Linked DNA regions of Schizosaccharomyces pombe. The gene in region 3 interacts genetically with the main gene of each other region. Each region holds a gene or a part of one and is shown on either strand. Other genes may lie near its edges.

Evidence for each region.
Region 1: mutations in cho1 (region 3) and spt2 together harm fitness less than expected from each alone (positive genetic interaction), as found in Schizosaccharomyces pombe (one large-scale study listed by BioGRID).
Region 2: mutations in cho1 (region 3) and rqt2 together harm fitness more than expected from each alone (negative genetic interaction), as found in Schizosaccharomyces pombe (one large-scale study listed by BioGRID).
Region 4: mutations in cho1 (region 3) and lam2 together harm fitness more than expected from each alone (negative genetic interaction), as found in Schizosaccharomyces pombe (one large-scale study listed by BioGRID).

Annotation. Positions count from the first base shown.
Region 1 is NC_003421.2:795,766-799,911, forward strand, and holds spt2 (histone H3-H4 chaperone Spt2), read right to left. Parts: upstream 2,311-4,146; 5' UTR 2,205-2,310; coding exon 984-2,204; 3' UTR 536-983; downstream 1-535. Other genes in the region: P3-type proton ATPase Pma2, read left to right, coding at 1-446; rps1501 (40S ribosomal protein uS19), read left to right, coding at 2,517-2,978; protein Fta4, read left to right, coding at 4,078-4,146. UniProt on the Schizosaccharomyces pombe protein: Histone chaperone that stabilizes pre-existing histone tetramers and regulates replication-independent histone exchange on chromatin.
Region 2 is NC_003423.3:3,743,980-3,751,848, forward strand, and holds the start of rqt2 (ATP-dependent RNA helicase), read right to left. Parts: upstream 6,031-7,869; 5' UTR 5,897-6,030; coding exon 89-5,896; 3' UTR 1-88. Other genes in the region: SNARE protein Ykt6, read left to right, coding at 6,190-6,293, 6,342-6,831; protein smp2, read right to left, coding at 7,493-7,681.
Region 3 is NC_003423.3:1,056,477-1,059,648, forward strand, and holds cho1 (putative phosphatidyl-N-methylethanolamine N-methyltransferase), read left to right. Parts: upstream 1-1,887; 5' UTR 1,888-1,945; coding exon 1,946-2,475; exon of another isoform or gene 2,476-2,492; intron 2,493-2,530; coding exon 2,531-2,591; 3' UTR 2,592-2,650; downstream 2,651-3,172. Other genes in the region: ubiquinone biosynthesis protein Coq7, read right to left, coding at 149-799; pre-rRNA processing protein Esf1, read right to left, coding at 3,046-3,172. UniProt on the Schizosaccharomyces pombe protein: Catalyzes the second two steps of the methylation pathway of phosphatidylcholine biosynthesis, the SAM-dependent methylation of phosphatidylmonomethylethanolamine (PMME) to phosphatidyldimethylethanolamine (PDME) and of PDME to phosphatidylcholine (PC).
Region 4 is NC_003423.3:3,102,358-3,107,582, forward strand, and holds lam2 (guanyl-nucleotide exchange factor Lam2), read right to left. Parts: upstream 3,430-5,225; 5' UTR 3,363-3,429; coding exon 3,295-3,362; intron 3,174-3,294; coding exon 2,759-3,173; 3' UTR 2,495-2,758; coding exon of another isoform or gene 2,390-2,494; 3' UTR 2,344-2,389; coding exon of another isoform or gene 1,622-2,343; 3' UTR 1,576-1,621; coding exon of another isoform or gene 1,443-1,575; 3' UTR 1,392-1,442; coding exon of another isoform or gene 927-1,391; 3' UTR 545-926; downstream 1-544. Other genes in the region: Spo4-Spo6 kinase complex regulatory subunit Spo6, read left to right, coding at 927-1,391, 1,443-1,575, 1,622-2,343, 2,390-2,494; fim1 (fimbrin), read right to left, coding at 4,410-4,531, 4,586-5,225.

The DNA.
Region 1 (4,146 bases), on a different chromosome or scaffold from region 3:
TGATTGCCCAAGGTCAAAATCGTGGTATCGTTCAGAATTTTGGTGTCCAAGATGAAGTTTTGTTCCTTCAAATTTCTTTGACCGAAAATTGGTTAATTTTCATAACCCGATGTAGCGGTCCTTTCTGGTCTTCCTTCCCATCATGGCAGTTAAGCGGTGCAGTATTGGTGGTGGATATCTTAGCTACCTTATTCTGTATTTTTGGATGGTTTAAAGGAGGCCATCAAACGTCCATTGTCGCTGTTATTCGCATTTGGATGTATTCTTTTGGAATCTTCTGCCTTATAGCAGGAGTTTATTATATACTTTCAGAATCCTCTTCATTTGACAGATGGATGCACGGAAAACATAAGGAACGTGGCACTACCAGAAAGTTGGAAGACTTTGTTATGCAGTTGCAACGTACCTCAACTCATCACGAGGCCGAAGGTAAAGTCACTAGTTAAATTTAGAAAACCATTTCAACATATTCGTTATGTTACCAATTTTTATTCATATTATCACTTTTTTGTTTAATAAGATCAATTATAATCCACGAAAAGATAAAAAAGGTTAAATAGGTGTATACTGAAAGTCATTACTAGGTATTGTAGGGTAAAAGCATCATCTTATTGCGGTAGACGAACAATTATAAAAATTGTAGTTAACCTTAAAATTCACTTTAAGGAAACACTAATTTCGCAATAAAGATAATGATGATGAGGTATTGCTATTTCAAGCATTATTAAACACTTATAAAGTGTTAACTCGGTTTTAATTAAACATTACGCGTAAATCAACTAAGCCATTAGAATGGCTACCGTCAAAATAAATTATTAGAGACATCAACATAAATAACAAAAGGAATGAACTTTTTCATGGAAAAAAAAGAGACTTAACGAAGACAAATCAAACAAACAATATTAAACCGAAATGTATCACAAAAGAAAGAAGTTGTAAATCATTGAGCAGTGATACAGATATTAGAGTAACATACAAAAAGATTATTTATTTTTCCTTCTTTTTTTCGCCAATTCTCGTTCCCGTTCGCGTTGTTCTTCTAATTCATCTTCCAAACGTGCTGCGCGAGCTGCCGCTTGTTCCTCACGCCAAACATCATGTCCGGTGGCCTCCATATCATCTTCGTCACTAAATACGTCGCGAGAAACATAGTCCTGTTTCCTCTTACCAAATATCTTCCAAATTTCGGAGGAAACATCAGGAACTCGATCGTTCAACTCGTCGTCATCGGAAACAACAAACTCATCGTGCCTTGAGGTATGAGGTCTTGCTTTGGGTTTTGTAATGGCTGAAGAGGCCGATGTTTTACGAGATGTATTGTTAGACTTCAATGAATTTGGTTTGGATTGCTTTAGTGCAGGTGAACCTACGTATGAAGTTTCAGAATTAGAGACTGTCCTAGGAGTGGCAGCTTGAGAAATCGAAGAATTCTGTCTCCTTTTCATAATTTCATCTTGTACTTCACCGGCTGAACGTTTATCTCGTTTTGGTCCAGTCTGTAGTTGCACAAGTCCATTTGAAGCATAGCGGGCTTTACGATTAGAAAAATTTGAAGTTGGAGGTGGTTGTCGAGGATTGCTAGGAGCGGCAGACGCACCTCCCGTCTTAAGCCATGCTAGAGATGCCGATATTTGAGAACCACGGCCTGCACGTAAACCAGCGGGTGGTAGACTAGCTGTGGAAGTAGCCCCACTATTACGAACCGGTTGATCTCTAGATGATGAATTCTTAACAGGTTTTTTAGGAGAGTGCGGTGATTGACTTCTCTTATCTTTTGATTGAAGCAACCCCGAGGAAGACGTCTCGTTGACAGCTGGTGCAGAAGATGCCTGTCGCAAAAGCTCATTATACGAACGAGGTTTACCCTGCCTCTCATTTTTTTTGCTTTCGAGCCGATCTTTCTCCTTTACTTCACGGATTCTTTTAGCTTCCTCAGCGGATAAGGGAGGCCGCTCCGACGTCTGTCTTGTCGATGCAGCTATTCTTTTCGCCTCCATAGCTTGCTGGCGTCTTTGCTCTTCTTCATATTTCTGCCGTAGTTCACGCTCACGCTGTAGTTTCCTTTGCCTGTTGCGTTCTTCAGTAATTTCCCGTGCTTTCTCTCGGATCTGCGCCTTTCTCAATTGTTCAATTTGAACTGCGGCTTGGGCAGATTGGCTATCTGCTAAAGCCATTAATTTTTGAAATGATGGGGTTCCTGCCATTTTATTATGAGATACAATCAATTCTTAATAATCCTCCTCAAAAAACCATAAATAATCAGTACAAAAACATGATTACCCTCCTACATGCAATACGATGATGGTTTCTGGTAAGTCGCACACATAAGTTTGATACCCAAAAGCTAAGCGATTGTGCAACGTAACGATATATACAGTACCCCTTTATTTAACTCTAAGAAATTTTATAGGGTAGGGTTTACGTGACTGTTTATAGTGACCAAAACTTGTAGCAGGAAACACTAGAAAAGATACGTTTGACCATCACCAACTACGGCATAAAATCCAATACACAGCATGGCCGAAGAACATGATGAAGCCGTTCGCGTTGCCGAACTGAGAAAGAAGAGAAGTTTCCGTACTTTTGCTTACCGTGGTGTTGAGCTTGAGCAGCTTTTGGATCTCTCTGCTGAGCAATTGGTTGATTTGTTCCATGCCCGTGCTCGTCGTCGTATGCTTCGTGGTCTTGGACCCAATGCCTCTCGCTTCATCCGTAAGCTCCGCAAGGCTAAGACTGAAGCTCCTCTTAATGAGAAGCCCGCCACTGTTAAGACCCATTTGCGTAACATGATCATCCTTCCCGAGATGGTCGGTTCTGTCGTTGGTATTTACAACGGTAAGCTCTTCAACCAAGTTGAGATTCGTCCTGAAATGATTGGTCACTACTTGGGTGAGTTCTCTATCACTTACAAGCCTACTAAGCACGGTCGTCCCGGTATTGGTGCCACTCATAGTTCTCGTTTCATTCCTCTTAAGTAAAGAGATGCAAAAAGGCGGGTTCAATGGATGGTTTCACTTCTATCTTATTCAATAATTTCTTTGTTTGGACTAACGTTGTACATTCGCATAAAAACCTAGGTTTTTTCAAGATATCTAAATTTGGTAGTGAAAGTAACAGTTGTAGAGCTGCGTGTTCGTAAACATGAATTATGTAAAGAGAAATACAGACAGATAATTTTTGTATTTGTAAAGTAACGAGTGTGTATAGTTGAAGGAGCATGGAAGTGTAACACAGAGCCGGACATATTGATTTACTTGACACTTGAATCTGCAATTTGACAGCTACGATTAGATTGCTAGCTTCATGATGTTTTACAAAAGCTACTTGTCCCACTCTTGGCTTGCCATCTAGCTAGTGAACCTATGAGAATATTTTATCATTATATTTTGGAAACCATCATTTGTTTTTGTTTCTCAACTAGCTCGAAATAACCTAAATGGTACTACATTGTAAAAACCAAGCTTTCGTTTACGTTTTACCACCGTAGAGTATATGTACCAATTCTGGGTGCTTGTTTGTAAATCTGAATTTTTTTGTAAGCTATTAGTTTTAAGGATAAATAAATATGTTTAATGCTATTCAATATTAATGGTATATCCTAGGTCAACTTCACAATACACTATACTCTAGGGTTCATCCTTCATAGAATATTACTCTCTTCGCTATATCTTAGAACTGATATATGCACTAATTTTTTAACTCGCATTAGACGAGTCCTTTCTAAGGAGCTAGCTTAATGATTATGTACATAAAATCTTCATTTTAACATCATTCAAAGTATTCTATTTAGTCGCTCGACTTTTCGACTTCTTTAGTCTCCTGTAACTTTCTCAAAATTTGTCATTAATCAACCATCAGCCAAGGTCTGATTGATTTGGTCTTTTTTTGTTAAGTAATTAATTTTGGAAGTGCTTACACTGAAGACGTCTATATGCTCAAAAGTCGCTGTTAGTTTGTTGCCTTTGCGTGAACTTGCTTTGTTAATTTCAATACCATATTGACTTGTTTTTCGATCAGTATTCAACTGTTTTTATTTTAATCCTGATAATCTTGATTTAAATCAAATTTACTTCCTAAATGGATATTTACGAACATAAAAAATCATTCATGGAACGACAGATACGGCTGTTGAACCGACCTATGCGC
Region 2 (7,869 bases), 2.7 Mb from region 3:
ATAGATTTGTTAATTAATTTTTATTAAACAGACTTAAATATAATAAGGAAATTGGCTTAAAGCCTTCTATTTTTCTACAAAAGCTTCATTAAATCATCAATACAATTTTATGTTCGTAAATTAATGGGTATCCATCACAAACAACCATGACTTTTACATTTCTGTTGCGGCAAGTTGGTGGAATATCCATTGAAATCCGAAGGGATAAACGAATTGAATCATCGTTTCTTCGCCCAGCAAATGAGGCCCGACGTATCGCGAACAGTTCTTGAGTTTCTGAATCTATGATGAGAACGAAAAATCCCTCACTTTGAGGTTTAGGGAACAACGGCGCAAAAATGTAAAAATCGGGGTTGAGCGGCTGATTGAGGCGTCGTAGATAAAGGAGTAGCTTATCTGAAGACGATTGAGAAACTTCAATGTTCATTTTAGGATACGAAATTAAACTATTGACCAGACTTTCTATATCAAAAACGTTAGGGTCATTACATAGCATTTGATATAACTCATCAGTTTTATTTCCTGCAAATTTGTTGAGATAATCTCTTGCTTCCTTTTCACTAGACGCATTAAGTCCAGGTAATGAAGCTCTGTAAATCTCACTCGGATAGCAAGCCTGTTTAAGACACTGCATTAGAGATATGTACTGTAAACAGACATGGGAGTAGCCTAGCTCAGCGGACACATCAATATAAGACTGTATAATACGAATAACCTGATCTAAAACCGTGCTAGTATCAGTAACATAATCATCCACTGGAAGTTTCAATCTTGCCATGTGAGCTTGAGTTAATATAAATGCCTTAACATGAGCATCGACCATAGGAAGGTTTAGGCAAGCAGCCGAATATTTCAGAGATTTATTAATCTCTATGTTTATCAAATCTTCGTTGTGACGAATAGCGAGATCGTCAAACTCAGATGCTTCAGCAAGCAATTGCAACGCAAGATCGAACTCAGCGTTCTCAGTTATTTTTTGAACGAAGTTTCTGATGGTGGTATGAAAAAGATAATAGTAACTAACTATACGACCCAAAGTTGTAGGTGCATAGGTTTCTTCGTTGACACGATATATGCAAGCTGACTTTTCAAGTTCATTAAATGCAGTCACAACAAGTTTCGATAAATAAGTATCTATACTCTTTTGGTCATCTCCATCAGCACCGTAATAAACGGGATTTTGATGAACTCTTCGATAGAAGTAAGTGCACGTTAAAAAATCCATTGCACCCTGTATGCAATCTATAGTGCCCGTAGCAATCTCGGCATTTAAATGGTTATCCAATACTTTATGTAAATAAGACTCTACTGGAAATCCACTATGTAGAAAGTGCTTATAAAACGACTTCTTAATATCCTGTACAAATATACGTGCCACACCAGAATTGTCAAATTGTGGTCGTCCTGCACGCCCTAACATTTGAAGCACATCCGTCAAATCCATGTCTTTATAGCCTCCAATTTTAGCATCGTAATACTCTGTTCCTTTCACAATTACCAAATGTGCCGGCGTATTTACACCCCATGCAAGAGTGCTGGTGGCGATGAGAATCTGAACTTTATTATTTACAAAAAGCTCTTCGGAAATTTTTCTATCATTTTCAGTCAAACCAGCATGGTGAAGTGCTATACCAAATGGTAAAGCCAACTTGAGGCTTTTATCTTCAACTTCTGAAACAATCATTTCTAATTCTTCTTCATCCATGTACAAAAATCTCCTAGGATTGTCTTCTAAACCACAAAAAGCTATCAAATCTTTTGCAGTTAATCTAGTTTGACGGCGCGACGAAACAAAAATTAAAACAGGTTGGGTAGGAGAGTGCGTTTTGATGGCTTGAAAAGCAGGCTTATTCATCGACATCATCCTTGGGCAATAGGCTCTACCAGGGAATCCATCGATATATATTTCTAAAGGAACTGGGCGCACGGAATGCCTAAAATTAAATAGACCATCTCTTATGTTAAGCCAATTTGCAAGATCGTTAGCGTTAGCAACAGCAGTAGATAAACCAAGAACTCTAACTTTCTTATTAGTTTGAGAAGCAACATAATTCATTCGGGAGACAATCATTTCAAGGACAGGACCTCGATCGCTACCTAATAAATGGATTTCGTCAAGGATAATTAATGAGACATCCTGAACATACTTCCTAGATTTCCAACTTCTAGTAATACCATCCCATTTTTCCGGTGTTGTAATTATGATATTTGCATTCGTAACAGCCTTAACATCCGGGTTAGTATCACCAGTTAATTCAATCATACTAATCCCCATTGGTTCAACTAACCTGTGTCCCCAGTCCTTTACTCTTTCCTTGACTAAAGCTTTCATTGGAGCAATATAAACTACTTTCGACTTAGGATAATTGTGAAGAGCTCTCCAAGTAGCTAATTCTGCGGCCATAGTTTTACCAGATCCAGTAGGTGCACCAACGAAAATATTTGTATCGGTGTGATAAATAGTGTGAAAAAATTGAGTTTGGACTGCATTAAAAAACGAGAATCTTTTAGCGCATATACCTTCTAGCACTGGATCGTGCAAAGCCGTAATTGGTAAAGGTTGAAGATCCAATAATTCTGTAATGGGATTGGAATCGTCATGAAAAACAACATTAGAAAGAGAAACCGGGGTAACTGTTTCAGCGCCTAGCCATTTATCTGATACTGCAATAATGTATAGTTGTGAGGGTAATGGATTAGACACAGGTATGGTAAAGGATAGTAAATGAGAAGTGCTAACGTTCCGTTTATTTAGGAGCAACTGTTCATGATGAAGAATCTCAAGACCGTTACTATCTTCAACAAATATCCAAAACATTTGACTGTTTCCATGATATCTCATGTCCCAATTAAAATTGGGAGTGATATTTAATACAAGTCGCAAAACGTTTTTCGTTAAAGGTAGCAAATCAACATTAATGTTTAAAAGAGGTAATTTGGAAATAAATTTTTTAACTGTAGGGCCCATTTTTCGGTTATGAATAAGATCACCAAGTTCTCCTGTAGACATGTCCGACAATTCTTCTAATGATAAAGACCCACACTGATTTTCCACTTTGACTGCAAGGTCATGTGGAAGATCAAACTGAAGTAAGGGGTGTTCAAAAGACCACTGCCTCCTATCAATTGACTTGTTTAAGCTAAGGATAGTAAATGCCGAGGCCCAAGTCCTTGACATTGCAATTTCGAAAAGAGCCCTAGTTATTCGACCCGCGTTTTGTGCAACATAATTTGTATCTGATGTTAGGGTAAAATCTTCTACATGCGCACGAGAAATGTATGACTGCAGAATAACGTTAACTTTTCCTGATGTATTCGAAATACTATCCCTCAACTGACAAGGACTACTGTTTTCCATTAGTGATTCAAGCTCACGATGCTCATTTTCTCTCGATTTGATTTGGGAAAACTCGCTGCATTGGCTCAAAAGAGCTATAATGTCTGCTTCCGACATTTTGCTTTTCAATAAATTATTTAATGTTGAGACAGTTTGATAATTGATATAGTAATTGGACGCGATTCTACCTAAATCTTTAGGAATCAGGTATCCGTTTTTCTTATTGTAAACGATCATTTGATTATCTGCCAGCCTTCCTGCCGCTACAGATACCAATTCTCTTCGCTTGCTGCCTAGTAAAGGATCCTCAACAAGTTCGTCATAAGCAATACCGTATACAAGTGGATTACGTCTCATCCTGATATAAAGATAAGTATAACCTAACCACGATACAGCTTCGTCAATATTAGTTACCGTTCCTAAAGAAACTTCAGCGTTTAAGTTGTCAACCAATCTATCGGTGAAACGAGATTCAATAGGGCTTTGTTGTGTTACAACGGAGATGTAATGAGAAAGTTTATCATGTGTCGTAATTATGTACGCGACTGCCGAACTTTCAAACTGAGGACGACCAGCACGACCGAATATTTGTAAAACGTCCAACACGCCAAGATCTACAAAAGAACCCTTTTGTGGATCATAAAGCTGAGTTCCTTTAATTAATACAGCATAAGCCGGTAAATTAACACCCCATGCTAGGGTAGCAGTACAGCATAAAATTTTAAGAATACCCATAGAAAACAAACGTTCAGTAAGATGTCGGTCCGATCGTAACATGCCAGCGTTGTGAATCCCCATACTGTATTTGAAAAGTTCTTTTAACTCTTTGTTTTTTGACTTTGAAACATCTCTTTGAGCTAGACTATATTTTTCATGTTGTGAGTTGTCCAACAAATCAGCCTCTCCCTCATGGAAAAATTGTTCCCTCAACTTCTTAGCTGAATTAATGGTTTCCTTCCTAGAATGTACAAATATCATTACCTGATGGCCTTCCTGAATCAGTTTCAAAACTTTATCAAAACAAGCTTCATCAATATTTGAGTTTACTATTTTAGGAGAACCTTTAGCACCGATGAAATGCTGTTCAATAGGGCATGGACGAAATGCAGATGAAAAATAAAACAATCCCTTGTACCTATTGACGCCTAAAAAATCAGCTACATCAAGGTAGTTTGGAAGTGTGGCAGAAAGACCAACAATTCTAATCATCTGTTGACTTGTTTCTACCAGCCTTTGTGTCCTAGCGACAAGTGATTCAATAACAGCACCACGTTCATCATGAAGCATATGTACTTCATCAATGATAACCAAACGTACTTTCTCGGCTAACTGAGTGTCGCCGACGCTTTTTCTAGTAACTACGTCCCATTTTTCAGGTGTTGTAACAAGTATCTGAGTTTCTGCTATTTCCGTTTTGGTTAGTTGCATATCACCAGTAAGTTCTCTAGTTTTCAATCCCAACCAAGCGAGACGTTTTCCCATTTTCTCTACAACCTCAGCAGCCAATGCCTTCATAGGAGCAATGTAGACAATCTTAAAATCATCTCTATGAACATCTAGAGGTTCCGATTCATCCATAAGATTCATACTTTCTACATAGTTGGAGATTGTTTGCAACATTGCGAGCAGAGCAACATCAGTTTTTCCTGCACCTGTAGGTGCACAAATTAACATATTCTCGTTTGTCTTGTAGGCGATAGGATAGACAAGCGATTGGATTCTGTTCAAAGTTTGGTAGCTAAGGAATGTTTTTCGACAAAGAATATCCATCGAAGAAATTTCTAACAACTTTTCCCCTTGCATTTGTGGAGCACGCTGAGCATGAGGAACAATAATCTCTTCATATTTCTGGTAATCTTCTCTTTCACTACCAGCCGGTAATGCAAACTTTTTCCCAATGACGCTAATAGTATTACCAAGCCTTTTATCCCCATACACATGAGGATATTTTTCCACTTCAAAAACTTGCTGTCCAGTAAATAAAGGACCTCTGTTATCACGAGACCGACTAAATCTTCTCGGCCTACTTTTTAAACTGTCTAATAATCCCTGACCATGCGTAGCAGAAGAACCAGCTTCAGAGGTATAGCCATCAGAAAGTTGCGCAGCAATTGAAGTATCATTTTGATTCATGTATTCTTCTATTAAATTGGACGAATTAGCGACGATATCTGAAATCAAGTCAATATGATCAAGTCCAACAAGATTCAGTAAATCTTCTTGAATGGCACATTGATCTTCAGTCGCTTTTAGGCTCATAATGACTGCTTCAAATAGTACTGAAGCATCAAGTTCAGTACTTGAAGATTGAGAAATTTCATTGCAGCAATTTTGCAGCCAAGTTAAATCTTTAAGAGCAAATTCATTATTGTCGGAGTCAGTAACGTCCTCGGGATTGATTAAATTATAATTTGTTTTCAAAATTTCGTCAACTTTTAACGATAAAGCACCTAGCTCAGCATTCGAATCACTCAGCGAAAAGCTATATGGAGTATCACAAAAACTAGCAGGACCTAGCTTTTCTAAGTGATTCACTACATAATTTAACTCAACTTCCATGAAAACTGTAAAAGGATAGATCGTTGAAATTAAAACCTCCTTAAACAGAAAAAATTTGAATTTTTATTGCTTTTATAGGATTGTATCCAATATACTACCCAATTTAGCACTGCTAGTAGTGTAGGGGATGGTTTGTAAACAAATGGCCACTACCTATTATTTGTGTAATAGAAAAATACCGTAGTCGAAGGTATTATGTGTGTACATACGATTGCAAGAAGTATGGCGTTTTCAACCAAAGCAGAAACAAACTTAACCCACACCATTAACTTGATTTACAGCATATTTACAGAATGAAGCTGTATTCTGTCTCTATACTCCGCTTTGACCCAAAACCAGTGCAATTATTATGCACTGCCTCAGACTTATCTAGTTTCTCATTTTTTCAACGATCATCGTATGTGCAAGATTTAATTGAAGAGTAGTTTGTTAACAAATATTTCAGCATCGGAGAGTTCATGAATTTTTTTACAAAGACTGTTGCAGAACGTACTAATCCAGGGCAAAGACAAGACGTTGAACAGTCCAATTACGTTTTTCATGTGTACAACCGATCGGATGGGTTGTGCGGTGTGATTGCTAGTGACAAGGAATACCCTTTACGTGTTGCTTATACTCTTCTAAATAAGATTCTAGACGAATTTTTGACAAAAAATCCTCGCACCAAATGGGAATCTGGTGCTGTTACCCTATCCTTTCCAGAATTGGATACCTATCTATCAAAATATCAAGACCCCAAGCAGGCTGATACGATTATGCGAGTGCAACAAGAATTGGATGAAACTAAAGATGTACTTCATAAAACAATCGAGAGTGTCTTAGCTAGAGGAGAGAAGTTGGACGACTTGATCCAACGTAGTGATAACTTATCTACACAGTCTCGAATGTTTTATAAATCTGCTAAAAAGCAAAATTCTTGCTGTATAATAGCTTAATTATTTTATAAATTCATTTGTTTGGTTTTCCTTTCTTCCCAATGCCCAAATTATATCATATTTTTTCAAGTTGGTATTCTTGCATTTTGTTTGCTGCAATTATCGATTGAATATCAAAACCTTGTTAATTTTTCTGCGCCTGTTCCTAGAGTCCATGAAATTGTTCTTCTATCATTATCTTTAATCTGATCTTTTCATGACACGTTGTTTGCATTCCGGATTGCTTTTATGTTATAGAGTAGATTACTTGTTGAAAAAGTCTAGCATGTTTCAATGAGCATACACACTCTTCGTTGATGCTCATAGCATGAATGGTTCACTTTATAAACTTGTAAAGGAGATTTTTTTAAAGATTGTAAAATTATTGAGTTTGTTGGAGCGAGAAAACTATCGGGCTTTTTTCGTTACAGATTTTTCTATAGTTTAGATTTATCTTCTAGTATATATCAAGTTACACAAACTCAATTGTTGTTGGCAAGCAAAATGGTTTGGTAGTAATTTTCATTATTCGTTAATGCTATTATGCATTTCTTTGATAAAATAGTTCAAGAAAGGTAGTGGTTTGGTACCCTTCGTTTATTGAAGTAAAAGTTTGAAGGGTTGAGGAGTATGTGCAAGCACGCCATCAATATGCTGCAGATGCAGCTGCATCTATATTTTATTACCTTCCCGGTATAGGTTGCTTCTTCTTATAATAAAGCGATTTGCATGATCGAAAGCCCTCCTTCGAGCTAGGTATTATGGTGATTAATTCTCCATCCAGTGTATAGTAGTTTCCTTGATAGAGTTTTGCTTTTTCTTGGAATTGCTTTGCATCCTCTACAAAATGATTTTCCTTATTGTGCTGCATGTGAATGTGTGCAAGAAAATTGGTGTAATGGATTAGTAAACAAACACATTACAATCCACTTCATATTGCCTTGCGGCTAACCAAGTGATTCGGTGTATTTAATCACCGAGTTTTTTTTTGTTTATGCGAGGCAATTTTTGATTTTATTAAGCATATAGGTAGAATTTCATATTCAATTATTTATCTCG
Region 3 (3,172 bases):
GATAAAATGTATTAATTAGATTAAGTAAGTTTTAACAAGGATCATACTATTGTGAAGCAAGAAAAACTAAACATTTTGAATCAAATGGGCGTTCTTTGCTTCATAAAGGACTAGCAAGTTGAGTTTGAGGCAGGAAAACTTGAAGTATTTAAAATCGTTTACACATCCAGATAGCCGCTTTGCAACCCATTTGAATGGCATTGGTAAGCAATGCATGAGCTGGAGCTTCCTTTGCGTTCCAACCTTCGACTGCAGTGTTCAAATGCTCTAGCTCGTCATCTCGAAACTCTGCCAAATGGCTACGAATCTCTTTAAATTCTGGAGCTTTATTTTCCAAATGAGCCGTTTCACGTAGTTGGTCGTTATAGTGTCCGCCAATTACCGTTTCTACTGCCTCTGTACAAGCCATAGCTGCTTTGGTTCCAAGCAAAGCAGTTCCTGCTCCCAACGCAAATCCAGCGATGTCCCAGAAAGGACGTAAAAAGGTAGGACGGACTCTATTCTTTAAGACATAATTATCAAATGTTGCGAGATGGTACTTTTCTTGATCCCACATATGCTGAATGGTAGGTGCGACTTTGGGATCGGTAAATTGAAGGATAAAGTGCTGACCTTTGTAAATTTGATTAGCGCCTAATTCACCTGCTTGATCGACACGAATGACGCTGTCCAAAATATTTGAGTCTTTCTCGCTCAGTTCTTTACGGCCCATCGAAATTCTACGGCATGTTATAGAGGAGCGAAGAAAAGGAGAAACCGACTTGGTAGCAATGGGTATTAACTGTCTACGTGACAACATCTTTTGTAATGGTAAAAAGGCCTGAAATTACACAGAGTTATCAATTTTCAAAACGAAATTTTACTAATCAACAATAAACCAATATTTCTAATTCACTAATAGATTGAAATATTCGACGAAAGAGACTATGATGTTGATTGGGTGTGGAGGATTAGAATGTGAAGTTCTCTACCAAACCGAACGTTTTAGGCGGAAATGCTTAGTTGAGTAACACGTTAGGCTTGAGGTGTATTTCATATCAATCTCTGAACAAATCTGCAAAATTCAAGCTAGATGGTTAAGTTAAGAAGGAATTAAATTTAAGTGATTTGATGTTCACTCTATTTTTATGGAATAAAATATTCGATAAACTTGTCGTTTATTCTTTTGCTTGATTAACGCAGTGAATACCAGTTGCTTCAACTTTATTTTTAAGTCAAAATGAAAAATACATACTTAGTTTTTAAACTAAGAGATTCAATAAACAGTGGCGTAATTTCAGGAAAGAAGCAATGTATCATTTTTTTCCTTAGCTAAATGGCTTTGCTACAGTTTCATAGTGTTCGTCAATCTTGACGGATATAGAAGTTCAATAATAAAATGCTTCTTATAAACAATAAAAAAAAAAAACATATTTAAGCTGCAGTTTTAAAGTAAACTCCAATTTCCTATCTTTTTTCCAACCAATTCAACTCAACATTGTATTTTCGCTTAAAAAACTTTAAATTAATTACTAGTTCAACCGAAGGGGAATCCGAAGATATACAAATTTCCAGTATTACTGATATAACAAGTACAAGTAGAGACTCAAAGACACCCCATCACAATTAATTTTTGACTTGCTTAATAATTCAAGAATGTAATTTGGCATTATGGATTAATTTTCTTTGTTATAGAAAAAAAGCTCCAGAACCACACCCACCTCCCCCATCGAAAATTTACAATTTGAAATATGCGAAATCAATCATTTCTTTCCTTTTTCTAATTTAATCTTTTAAACACAAATGAGTACTTATGTTTTTCAGGCCTTCTCTCATTATTTTATAAAATAGCAATATCGTTAAATTCCGTTGTATCAAAGACGTCGTTTGAATGAGCTTGATTCTTTACCCCAAACCAACTTCGTATTTATATCAACCTTTTATAAAAGCATATTTTTCGCTAAACATGGCCATTTTTGAAATCAATAATTCTTTTTTAATTTGTGCTGTATCTATTGCTTTGAACCCTCTGCTATGGAATATTGCTGCACGTTCAGAATACAATCATAAGACTTTGACCAAATTGGCAAATGGCGACTCTAAGAAGGCCTGTTACATGCTAGCAGCTTGTATTTTTGTTGCCGGAATAGTTCGTGACTTAATTTATCAGAATGCTTTAAAACAACAACCTACGCTAGGTATCTTCATGAACCCTCTTGTGCAGGGTATAGCTAAGCTCATTTTTTGTTTTGGCAGCGTCCTTGTCTTATCGAGTATGTATAAGCTAGGACTTGTTGGTACATATCTTGGTGATTACTTTGGATTTCTGCTTCCAGAGCGTGTTTCTGGTTTCCCATTTAATGTCAACGATAACCCAATGTACAACGGTTCTACTCTTTGTTTCCTTTCTACAGCTCTGCGTTATGGAAAAGTTGCTGGCCTCCTTTTAACTTTGGAAGTCTTTTTCGTTTATAGAATAGCTTTGAAATTTGAAGAGTAAGTTGCCAACTGTTTAAATTTTTAAATTTTTCTTTACTCTAACCATTAATAGACCTTTTACTGCTAAAATTTACGCTGCTCGTGATAGCAAGCAAGCTAAAAAATCCGAGTGAAGCAGCTGATTTGAAGTGGCCATAAGTTAAAGCTTCATTAGAGTTTTTTATAAAAAAAAAAAAAAAAGGAACAATTTTAAATGGAATGTTCTGTTCATGACTAGTCCTTACCTTTACTAACGCTCCTCCTTTAACCGATTTTGCCCTATGTACTTTGACGACTTCAACGTCTGTATAATTATGCATAGTTTAACGCTTTTTTTTTCAAATTATTTAAGTGTGTTGATCGCGGTCTCAACACCATGATCCGATATTTTTATATTCATACTTATGTAAAAAATAATCTAATATTTTACACCATGTAAATTAACGTGCTTTCATTCTAAAATCAAATAAAATTCAAAACAAATATATTAGCAAACCAAAAAAACCCCGTTTTGACCAATTTATATGTACAAAATCAAACTCTATAAATCCAATCGTTCAAGAGGAAAAACAGAGTACAATTTCTAATTTATTTTCCAGAACGTTTAATAGATTTGACAATGCGATCAAGTTCTTGACGTTGATCTCCTTTTTCAGCTTTACGCTTTTTGATTTTAAGCTCAGGCTTACCGTCTTGTGTTTGTTCCAATTGATTT
Region 4 (5,225 bases), 2.0 Mb from region 3:
TGGTACAATTTATGAGTGAACTAAAAGTCGAACCCAAGTTGCAAGTAAAAATCTAATAAAATGATGTAAACGAACTCTCAGCTGGGAAAACCTTAAAGTTCCAAATGAAAAGGGATACTGAATATGAAAAAGTCTCCGTTAAATACGATTGCCATACAACTTCTCAAATGCCATGAAGTATTTAACGAATTTCGTTAAAAAAATAATTGTAAACATATTGGTATGTGTTTTCGCAATTATTAACGCCTTGGTGAGTCATAAAAGTATCATTGGAATAAAAATAGATTTTGTTTGTTTGTTTTTTTGGTTAATTCCTAAATGGACAGTTACGGGAATTGCTTTGAGTTGTTTTCGTTATGTTGACGATTAATTAACTACAAAGTTCTCACGTGTCAGTGTAACAATGTTACCTAGACTTTTAGGTACCTATTTATTTAAAATTGGGTCTATGTTTATTTTACAAGCTTGAATCAAGTAAATATATATTTTCTAATCATATGAATACTAAAAAAATTTTTACAAAGGAACCCAGCAAAACTATCAAATGGAGCCAAAGTAGCTTATTTATTTAGTATGAATGTGATACGCAACGCGACGTGTCGCGCGTTTAATTTACTGGCTTAATACGCGAGGCGAGGCTTTTGTTTACAAACAATACTAGGTGAATATGAGAAAATATTTGAGTAAACAAACAAAATCAAATTGTATATATATCCAGGATACTCCTCCAAACTTCCACAGAAAAAAAGATAGGTTTATCTTTTTACTTCTAGAGGAAAACCTGCATCTTGCTTACCGAGGCCATTGCTGAATATTAAAGCCAGACATAAGTAGGATTAACCAACAGGTGAATTCATCAGCCTCCCAAGGAATATATATACATACTTCTTCTTCCTAAAAATCTTTCCGAGTCAATCCGGAAGAGTATGGACTTCTATTCAGTGAAGTCTCAGCCGTTTGTTCGATCTCCTCTAGTCGACCAAAATCCCAGTATACAAAATATAAACGAAGAAGTAAAGAGAGATATTCAAAATCCTCTTAGCTATAAAACAGAAACTTCGGACAAAGAACTGTGTCAAACTGCAGCTTGCGCAACTTCATGCTCCGACTGGTACCCTCAACAACAAACGCACATGCCTCATCAAAATGCCTTTGACTCTGCTAAAGCCACAGCAAAGATGGCTCTCCCACCCACTGCTTTTTCAAACTACTGTGTAAAACCTTCCCTAACGCGAAACAAGGATATACCAAGAACCAGCATTCGAGTTTCCAAACTTCGTTACTGGCAAAGAGATTATCGATTGGCGTTTCCCAACTTTATATTTTACTTTGACAACGTTGATGAGGAAATCAAGCGTCGTGTTACGCAAAAGATTAATAATCTTGGAGCCGTAAGTAGTTCATGCAAGAACTTGCGCAGATCAAAACTAACACATATATAGAAAGTAGCAACATTATTTACTTTTGAAGTTACACATTTCATTACCACCAGGACTACCGACCCAGAAATGTGCCAGCCGAATGATGTACTTTACCTTTCGAAAACTGCCAATATGAAAATTTGGCTCCTGGACAGTAAGTCTTCTTAATATATCAGTGTAACCTTCGCTAACTTTCTTAGAACTATTGAACAGAATCCTCTTTACATTACTCAACTCTGATAGCCTGGTTAATACCTCAGCTTCGTGCTTGCAATCTCTCCTAGACGGTGAAAAAGTGTATGGTACATCAGACAAAGACTTTTACGTGCCAAGCAAAAACGTCGAGTACTTTCGTGAATACTTCCTCTGCATTAGAGATTTATCACAATACTATAAGCCAATTGCAGTACGAGAATGGGAGAAAACATTGGATTCTGGAGAGATCTTATGGCCAAGTCTTGCTATAACCGCACAAGGAAGATGTCCATTTAATACTGGTAGAAGAAGGGAGTTAAAAATCACAAAACATAACCATCCAGCTCACGAAATCAGAAAACAGCTCTTAAGTTGCACTAATCAAACTAACCAAAATAACGTTGTTAAAAATTCAGCGAGTGTGTTGGTGCGTCAAATCATGGGGGACTATAATATCACAGAATCAGCAGTTGATGGTGCAAAACAAATGCCGACAGAGTTTCCAAAGCCAGAAAACCTCTTACCGGTAGAGAAACGCGCCGCAATGTCTCCACTTAACCTTCTTGAACCTCGTTTAATAAACAAACAAAACACCTTGGCTAACCAAAGTCCTCGACAACCACCTAATGCCTTCGATGCAGATCCTCTAGCTCACAAGAAGGTGAAAATCGAAACAAAATCAGGATATTGTGAAAACTGCTGTGAGAGATACAAGGACTTGGAAAGGGTAAGTTAAACCAATCATAGCAAAAACAGCACTAACACATCGATAGCATTTGGGCGGAAAACATCATAGAAGATTTGCAGAGAAAGATGAAAATTTCCAGGGTTTAGATGATTTGTTTTTGCTAATCCGACGCCCAATTCGGACAAATTAACGTTAGTTCAAGTTTTAAGGATGTCTCAAAAATTCCAGAAAGCAAGTTCAAACATTCAAATAAACCGTAAAATCAATATATCCTTTGTCCAAATGAAAAATTCAAAATAATCTGCTAAAAGGGAAGAGAAAATTAACAATATAATGATGTGTTGTAGCATTCTTTTCTTAAACCAAGGTCAGGCTTAAGCCTATGATTGTAACAAACAATGCAAGTAAAGCTCCAAACATTATCGAGTTTAAATCAAAATAGATTTAAAATAAGTTAGACTGGTTTTCCAAGCGTGGAAAGCTCATTGGTGATACACTCTTTCAAAAGTTCAGATTTGATTTGCATCATTCCTTCCTTTGCGTTTTCTGTTCCAACAATCCCTAATAATAATGGGTCTTTGGAGTAAAGTTTATCTTCAGCCCCATCAATTGAAATGGCGGCTATTAATAATTTCCCCCTTTCAAACTCAATTATTGTTTCAAAAAGTACATCTCTTTGATGAGCAATCACGTCGTCTGTAGACTCCGCGACCAAAGGGCTAGGGTTGGTTGCAGTATAAAGTGAATACATGTTGCCTGCTAAAGCCGCAATAGATCTAACCCTTTTAGCTAAATCCAGACGTTTTAAACCATCTTTAGGATCTTCAAAAGAAACATAAGCTAGCAGCGAGCCAGTAGTGGTAAAAACCCTAGTTTGTTAATACCTCAGAATATTTCAACAATAAACTTATATATCTAAGCTCCAAAATAGTACAGGTGTACCCACTGGATTTGAAGTAAGAATGAACTTCAAATTCACTAAATGCTTACATGATAGACGGTACAGTTTCCTCAACTGCCTGTTTCATCAACGACGACAACTTCTTTGGCTTAATCATCTTCGAATTTAAACTTAGATAGCAGTAAAGGTAGCAATATGTATTTTAAAGTCCAATCGGCAATAACGATTTAACCTGTTTTGAATGGTGGTTATAAGTAGTTTGTAAGCTACGCAGTTTGGTATCTGATTTAAGGATACGTAGAACTGCGGTGAGTTTTCCTTGTGGTCTATTATATTACAATACACAGGTTGTATAAGTAGCAACTGAGTATAGGTATTGTATTAACTGGGTTATAATGTTACCTATCACTAATATAGCTCATAACTGAACTGAGGAACGAGGTTCAGTTGTAACGCTATTTATAATATTTCTAAATAGTTGTTATCAACGGGTATCTATGTATATAGAAGGATAGTTACCCGTGATTATCAATAAACGGATCTTAGCTAGTATTCCAACATATGACATATAGTGATACGCAACGTAGTGTAGCATAGCGTAGTGTAGTATTGCTGACATAGTTGGACAATATACGGTGGACGTAATGTGTATTATGTTAAGTAATCTGATAATAAATAATATTGTTATAAGATTCCGAATATTTTATTAAAGTAAAAAATGTTAATCGACATATATACATTTTTATTTCTTTTTATTGTGTTTGAAAATTAGGGCTTGGTAGACCAACGTTCTCCCAACGAATGCTTTATTTAGAAAGCTGATTTGCATATGCAGTCCGTACTATTTGGGCCTACAGAGACTTACCATTAGTTACATATACAAATGATCTTCCCTTCATTATGAAATTAAAAAGCTAACTATTTTCTACAGTTTGAGAAAAAATGACTACGTTTCGTCGTGCAGCTTCAGAATTCCTCAAACATTAATTAGGATAAGGATTACCCAATACTAAAGGGACAAAAACGGGTTAAGATGTATCATAAAACAACACAAAGTTATCTATAATATGACATACCACTAATAACATAGCGAGTCAAAAGCGACGTACTCACTTCCGAAGTTGTTCGCAATATAAGTAATTAAATTGGGAAAAACACATGTGTTAAATCGTTTCGTTAAAAGCTATAGTTAAGTCGAAACAAATTATACGGCCATTAAACTGCCAATAAAATGAAGGACCAACCGAGGACGAACGGCCACAATATCTTCTGGCAAAATAAAGATTACGGCACCCAACTTTCTGGCGATAGAAATAGCAAGACGAGCTAAACGATGTGTTAGTAATGAAAATTAAAAATATATCAAATATATATACATACCATTTTGAATAGCAAGTTCTTCAGTAGAACCATCGGTAACAAGATTGTAATCAACATATTCGCTCTTAATTCCATGAAGTACGTCTAAGACGAACACACCAGTGGAAATAGAAGGATCACGGAATGAACGAATTTGAGAACCTTTACCACCTTTAGCAGCCATAGAATTGGCCCACGCAACCATGTCACTATCTGAAAGAGTTTTACCTCCACGGCTAAGACTATGTAGAGTTTTGGTAATGTTCATACGCATCATTTGCCAAACCAATGCTAAGGTGAGTGTACGAGAACCGTCAGTAATATCAGCACCTTGTATTCCTACCAAAGAAAAACCTTGATTTTTTCCAAGGTCCACTGCATAATTACAGTTTTCAACAGCTTTGAAACGCATCATTTCATCTCCAGATGCAGGTGCCTTGTTCACCTTTTTCCAGTTAACGGTATTAGGTGTGATTTTATCGTAAGCTTGCAACAAAATCAAGCCATCTCGTAAATTATTGAAGAAGTCATGAATGGATGGAGTAACATCAAGAGAGTTCAACCACAAGGTAAAAACACGTGCCTCACGCTCACCTTCTGCATCAAATGGTTCAATCTCCGGCTTTTCCTCTTCATTTAAAGGCTCCAAACCTGGATGAGT